Linked DNA regions of Drosophila melanogaster. The protein of the gene in region 2 purifies or fractionates together with the protein of the main gene of each other region. This does not show direct contact. Each region holds a gene or a part of one and is shown on either strand. Other genes may lie near its edges.

What was found. The genes of interacting proteins can lie anywhere in the genome.
Region 1: the proteins of fj (region 2) and kcc purify together in Drosophila melanogaster (affinity purification with mass spectrometry, with the first as the bait; one large-scale study listed by BioGRID). This does not show direct contact.

The regions. Positions count from the first base shown.
Region 1 is NT_033778.4:23,908,699-23,912,529, reverse strand, and holds the start of kcc (kazachoc), read right to left. Parts: upstream 1,921-3,831; 5' UTR 1,707-1,920; intron 1,140-1,706; 5' UTR 1,070-1,139; coding exon 979-1,069; intron 854-978; coding exon 662-853; intron 343-661; coding exon 209-342; intron 147-208; coding exon 64-146; intron 1-63.
Region 2 is NT_033778.4:18,231,086-18,234,685, forward strand, and holds the start of fj (four-jointed), read left to right. Parts: upstream 1-1,675; 5' UTR 1,676-3,024; coding exon 3,025-3,600. Other genes in the region: CG46388 (uncharacterized protein), read left to right, coding at 480-557, 656-970, 1,024-1,209. UniProt on the Drosophila melanogaster protein: Golgi serine/threonine protein kinase required for intermediate growth in the proximal-distal axis. Phosphorylates specific residues within extracellular cadherin domains of Fat (ft) and Dachsous (ds) as they transit through the Golgi.

The DNA.
Region 1 (3,831 bases), 5.7 Mb from region 2:
GTTGATGTTAATCGTGGCACCATTAGAGTTACTACTACCTCCTACCAATGCCATTGTAATTACCGTGATATCATGAAGTAACTCCCGCCCGCCGGAACCACCCCGTTCGTTGCAATGGCCGACATCGAGATCGCGGTTAGCATGGTCTGCAAAGAGGAGTTTGGAGTGAGGCCAAATGGGGGAGGGCTCAGCAGCAGGACGCTCTTACCACACAGCAGCAGGTCAGAACAATCAGGAATCCACACACGGCGCCAGCCGTTCCAACAACCCATGTTAACCGAATGAACAATATGACACCAAAGATGTTTTGAATGCATGGCAAGAACACTCCAATTAGGGTACCTTATGAGACATTGAAACGAGCGTTAGAGATTGATGCTTGGGGTCATCAGTTTAATGAAACCATTTAGGCAGGTGCCCGAAAGTATGCACTCAATCGCGGGAGCGATTCCCTTCGATTGTGCCACACTACTGCACACTGTTGCATACTTTCGAACAGCTCTATAATATTCGCCCGCACAGTGAAGGCTGAAACACTTTGAGGGGATTACAGCAATCATTCCTCCACAGCTTTGTTGTTTGCTGCGATTCCATTGTGCACATGCCTTTCAATATGGGGGTAGATGGAACAAGCAAGTTAATTAATGCGCGGCGAACATACCCATTCGAGCCGATGGAGCTGCCGGCTTTGCATCGGGATCGGTGGCCGCTGGTATCGTGTTCTCATAATTGGCAATTGATGAAATGAACGTTGATATATGGGGCCTGGTCTCCAAATCATCGTCGTACAGATATAGATTTGGGTCGATGCTGGACTTCTGGTTCTCCTCCGCCCTGTGGATATCACCTGAGTCTGTGGATGCACAGGATTGAATAGAGTTCGGATATCTTACGTTATGTAATTAAGCTACTAAGCACTAGTAGTGAACACTATATATGTACATATATACTATATAATTGATATTATCCCCTGCATACCTTCATTTTTGGTTTCGTGAACTGTACCATTGTGTTCGGATGGTATTATTTCCATTTCATCCGAATCATCTTTTGCACTGTTACTTTGCATGTTAACGTTGGTTGTTTGGTTTCAAACCCTTGCTTTAGATTGCACTATGTTCACTTAAAATTAGGTAACACTAGAGGAGAACGTGGTCAAGAACTAAGAACTAAGTGGGCATGGTCCTTCTTCAGACGGAGCTCCACGCATTGGGATTATATAACCCAAAAGGCGTGGCCGCTGCGGTGTATATATTCACATGTCTGCGGACGTGTGCCTATATACTCGAGATTTGGGTTTGGTTTCGGAAGGGAGCTCCTAATCGGGAAATGCCCCAAGAACTCGGAGGTGGAGGTATGATGGGAGGTGGATCAAAAATTGCGTCCGGCAGGCAGGGCGGGCGGGGATGCTGCTGCGAAAGTTGAGCCAGCTCGGACAGAAAAAAAAAAAATATGTAACCGATTAATTTAGGTCAAGGATTTTCAGGCCGTCGTCGTGGGGCGGTAAATAAATGCCGTAAAGTCGTCCTTTTCGCCGTAAAGCGGCTCTCGAGCTGGCTAAATGCACCGAAAGTGCGGAATGCAGCTGAAAATGGTTACGAAATGAGGCCTTTCTATGGGAATGCGGGGTAATCCTCCTCGACACCGAGTGCCCGGATCTGGGGTCTCCGGGAGGGAATTTGGACACACTTTCTGGTTGAACGCACTTGTATTCATGTATTTGATTATTGTTAGAATTTCGTCGATTGTTTAAAGTATGTTATTTGTTAAAGGTGCTCAAAAAGAACTGGTTTCTCATGTTTTCCCGTTTTTCGTATTTTTTTTTAGGTTTTTTGTATTATGCGAAAGAAGACTCCTTCTAAAGTTATTTTAGGCGAGCGAAAACGCTCAGATGTATGCTACTTTTCGTTCGGATTAATAGAAAAACTAAGAAAACTGTTGGTATTCGGCCGAATAAAAATTATGTTGCCCAGGACCCTGAGCGTTCAATTGAGATGAAATCGAAAGCTTTTGTCTACACACATTTTTAATACACACACACTCTCGCAGGAGAGCGAAATCGAGAGCGATGCTGAGCTGAGCTAAGCTGAGCTGTGCTGGGAGAATGGAGAGCGCCTCGTTGCAGGTGTACATTTCCATTCGGTGGCCCACAGCTCAGTGGGGCCACTGAGCCCACTGCCTTGGCCAGGACCTGCCCGCCAGCCAGCCAGCCACTCTCACCCAGCATCCGACGTTCGCTGGAAGGGATTGCGAGAAAGCTGCGCCGCCCTCAATCTCTCACTCTCTCTCTCTCTCTCTTTCTCTCTCTCTATCTGGGAGCTTTCGTCAGGTACTACGAGCTTTGGCTTACAGCAGCCGCGAAATGTGTCACCAGGACATCCTGGATTCGGACTGGGGCAACTGGGGCAGCACAGGATAGGATTGCAGGGCCGTAAGCTCTATCTGGGCATACAGTAGTCACTCGATGGGAGGGGAAATGCGTGTGCCTGGGGGTGAGCAGGCGAAATGTGCTGATGGGACGAAACTCAGCAAGGACCAGATGAAATTGCACACAATCTCTTCAGTGTTAATGGTTCTTGTGTATGTATACATCTTATCTAAGTATGTATAAGTATATATTAAGAAACGAGCTCTTATAGTTAATAGTAAAACTAAAGTAATAATAGTGGCACAAATAAAAATGAAAACATCCTTACCATCGTACGACCCATAGTTCTCACCTAGGGTTTCGTCGTGGATGTCCCCCAGTAGCTTGCCGCTCGCAGACTCATCCTGGTTGTAGTCCAACGCGGTGTCCTCGTCAGCCTTTGTAACTTGAAATCTATCTGGCATATTTGTGGATGTAAGGCACTCTGAAATGGGAATGACATTAGTATCGTCGTTGCTAACATGGAGACCCTGCCGAGGGCACGGCTAGGAATTAGCGATCAAAAGCATTCCCGACGATCGCTAGTCCAGTGCGGCTGGTTCCGAATTCACATAAGCTCCCAAGATAAGGATAACATTTCTGTTCCGAATTGCAAAGCCCACCAAATAACTAAGACGGTTAGTCCGCCCCCATCATTACTGCCGCACCTCAACTGGTGTGATAACCCGTGATCGAAGGTATCTAGTGAGTCGCACTATTTGCATGAGATTAGTAGTCCGCTATCACATGACCATCGAACTTGGTGGGTGTCTGGCCGAAATGGGCCACTGCACCTGCGATGTATGCTCCACTTTCGGGCAGAGATAAAGGCTGTTTCCGATCTGTGGCGCTAATCGCTCCGCACTCGCCGCGAGCTGTGAGCGGCGAGCTTAAGATAACGACCATTTAGTGCCATTTAGTATGCCTCAGCGGTGTTATGTCACCGGCTTGGTTACATAAGGCACGACTTGGGACACACAAGATGCGCTGCGATGTGCCAGACGTCGAGTGGGAACGGTTTTGGCGGTTTCCTGACCCTGCCACCGTGATTCCAGCCCCCACCCGCAGCGACGAATTGATAGGCGAGCATGTGTGTGGCGCTCTCAGCGAGATCGGGCTCATCCCGAACCCAGACGAGGCAGCTGGCCCAGGTGGAGGCCATTACACGCGCGCTGATAAGTGCACAAATCTGTTCCCATCGATTGGGCCGTCGCAGCCGCGTACACACAACAGGGGGCAGATAGATTAGTGCAGATACGGGGCTATGTACGTGGAACACAAAGAGGTGCATGCAGATACGTACATCCAAACACGCACATACGCACGCATGTACATATGTACATACGCAGAGGTGGTGGTGGTGGCGGAACAGGATGGACTGGACGGTGTTATCTAACCCGAGGATGTGCCCGCCCAGGCCAGCC
Region 2 (3,600 bases):
ATGCTCGTGAGCGGTTTTCCCACTACGCTATCGTAATCGTAACCCTTTCCTGGCTCCTCACACTGCTCCACTCTTTAAGGCAAATTCTAGTTTCTTAATGTGGCGCAGCAAATGTGCCGCTTTGAGCATTAAAATCAACAGAGGCAGCCACAACTCGCACTCTAAAAAGCCTCCCACAGAATGTGCTCTTCCTCTCTCTTCGCTCTCCCTCTCTCTGAATTCAAGCATTACTCAAAAGGTGTTTTCGTCGCTCAGGTAAATTGAGTGAAAATCCATAGTGTAAATATACATGAGCTTCTACATGGCCATGTCAAATAATACGCACGTGTATTTTGAGTGGAAATAGAATAGATCGCTTCAGCTGAATGGGTTTTAATAATTGTGGGTGCAATCTGATTTCAATTGAAATTGCCCAATAAAGTGCTCCATTACATATGCATTATAGAAAAATACAGGCGTTACTCGCTTTAGTTAGTAAAATGTGTCGCAAATACCACATCTTTTTTGCTTTAGCTCCATTTATGGCTATTTCACTTGCCGGCGGGGAACCAAGAAAGGTAAGGCATCATCATGCTTTAAAGCATATATTTTTTTATTATAGTATTTAACATAATTTGGTCTTTATGATAGCTTATCTTATTTCCCCTTTCCACAGCTCATAGTATTTGATACCATAGAGTGTGCAATCAAGAGCAGTGTCATCTCAAAGGTTGTGTGTCAGCTGTATTCCCGGACGGAATTTACTGTCTTTTTGACCTTTGGCGAAAAGAAGCATGCTGACAAGGTGTTTGGAGCTTGCGAAGTCAAACTCTGTCCAAAGAGTCAGAAAAAGATAACGAGGATAAATAACCTAAGATTGGACTTTTGTCAACTGAAGAAGCATACCGAATCGCGCTCAGTGCTGGGAATGTTCTACTTAGCACTTCGCAGAGCTGTAGTCAACTTTCCCAACAAGTGTCCCTTCAAAAAGGTGTTTGTATTCTTTACAACTTTGGGACGTTTTTTAATTGATTTGATTTCTAGAACACCACATATGGGGTAAATCGATTCCATTTTGGCTGGCAAGATATTCCGCAATATCTACCCGATACTAACTACACTCTTGTGGGAAAGATTTATGCCAACAATGAGTTGGGACTCGAGATCAAGGTGACTGGCGGCTATTTTGAAGTTGCCAACGATTCTGCCTATAGGAAGCCCCTACTGTGAATGCGCATAAAACTTATGGTCATTAAAAAAGTAACTGTCTAAATAATATTAATATGGGAGTTAGCTTTGTACTTAAAACCTATAACTTAATCTATACAGTTAATTATTAATTTATTAAGTGTTGAAAAAAAAAAAACACCATTTTCGGGCATTCCTTGTAAATTTGTTTGTCAAGACCCACCCAAGGATTAGCTTAAGAATTAAAGTCGGATAAAATAATTCACCTGGTTTCGGGCTTAAAACTATTTCATTATTTCTTGGCAGAGAGAGAGAGAGAGTCCATGTAGATAGAGCGCAGCTTAAATTCAAAGAGCGCAGTGGCTTCCACTCAACTCAAACTCAAAACCGGCAAGATTCGAAAAGGATCCGTGCAAAAGCCACAAAAGAAAGAGAGAGAGAGAGCGACTTGTGAGAGCACGATCGAGTCGGCCGCGTGTCTTTAACTAAGACCGGCGAGAGCCGCTCGTCGGCCAGTCTGTCAGCGAATCTCGAAGCGAGCGGTACGCAGGCGCGCAGTCGCACATCCGTCAGCATAGCAAACGCCAGAAACCAACACCTTTAGTTCCGATTCAGATACAGTGCGACAATCTAAACACGCGTTCGCACCACCAACCATATCGCGGTGCAAAACGAGAAAAAGACGCGAGGCAAGGAGTGCAAACATATGTATGGACAGCGAAATAAATAAAGCGGAGGCATAAAAATTCCTCACATCGTTCGGTGCGCAGCGACGAAGATCGAATGCGGACAAAAAGGCTAAAATACAGCGAGGCCAAATAAAAGCGATTCGCAGCCAAGTCGAAGGTGCTCCGCCGAGTGGAGTGGCCAAGGTGCGAGACAAGAAATTAAATTGATAAAGCCTAAAAAGCGGAGCCTAGGACTTTGTCCTCTCCCTCGGCCAACAAACGTACAAACAAACAAACCAGCGCACACACACAAACTTGTCGCGTTGTTTGCTCGGCGCGGGCAATTATCGGGCGAATATCGGGAATCTGGGAATTCGAGTGCGAAGCAACCCCACCAAAGTGTTAAAGTGTGTGCCAGAGTGTGTGTGTGCGAGTGTGTGTTAGCGGTTAGCTGGTGTGGCAAATAGCTCAGAGCCACGAAATTGCTTTTATCGGCGCACCGAATCGCTCCGCCAACTGCTCAAGTCCAGAAATTAAAAACAAAAAGAGAAACTGTTCGGTTCGTTTGGCCGAAGGGCCAGCTAGCCATCTCGCAAAATATTAGCCCGCCGGGCTCACAACGCCAGCAAACAAACAAACAAACGGCCAGCACAAAAATGTATAATAAAAAATTACAGCAAGTGATCGTGCAGAAAATAGATCGATAAACCCAAACCCCAAACCCCCAAACTCAAAACGAACTCGAACCCGAAAAAAAATCTGACAAAAACAACACAAAAAAAAAAAAACGCGAAAAAGCGACGCGGTCCAGCGGAGAGTATAAAAATAAATAAACGAGCGACGATCAGCGAGCGATCAAGGAGCTAAAGCAGGAGGAGCACGTTTCTGGGTTTTTGTTTCAATTTCAATTGTGGAAATCGTAGAGGAAAAATTCGAACCGGTCTCCGCCGAGAGTCGCTAACCGAGGAGCGGAGGACGAAGCCAGCAACCGAGAACGAACCACCGATATTTATTAAACAAAGACAGAAATTAATTTCACGATTTTGTGAGGCACCACAGCAATACTGCAATCCAGTACCACCACCCCTTTCGCTTCCATCGCCGCCCTCCATGAGCGGCTTGAACTTTGAGCCTGAGGTCTGGGCTTCCACAGGGAACTAGGGATCGGGATCTTCGGCCCGCCGGCAAAATGTACGACATCAAGCGCCTGGAAGCGGGACAACAGAAACTACAGCAAGCACAGCAACCACTGGGCCTTGACCTGAGCGGCCAGCAACAGCAACTCACCTGCAGCGTGATCACAGCGCCCGAGCATCGGGCTAATCCCAATCCCAGCTCCATTTCGCAATCCAACCCCAGCGAGGCCACCCACATGACTTTGTTGACGCTGCGCCGGCGCCGTTCGCTGCAGCGACGCGCCTGCCTTCTGAGCATCCTCGCCGCCTTCGTCTTTGGCATGGCACTGGGCGTTGTTGTGCCCATGTTCGGCCTGCCCCGCCACCAGGACTCCCCGCCAGATCTGCCGGAGGAGCAGATACAGATGGTTGCCGTGGAGCCGCTGAGCAGCTACCGCGTGGAGTTCATCAAGGAGACGGACGAGCTGAGTGCCGAGCAGGTATTCCGCAATGCCTTCCATCTGGAGCAGGACAAGGATGCTCCGGACTCGATGGTGGTGAAGAAATTGGACACCAACGACGGCAGCATCAAGGAATTCCATGTGCAGCGCACCGCCAGCGGTCGTTATCGCAAGGGTCCGGAGAGGAGG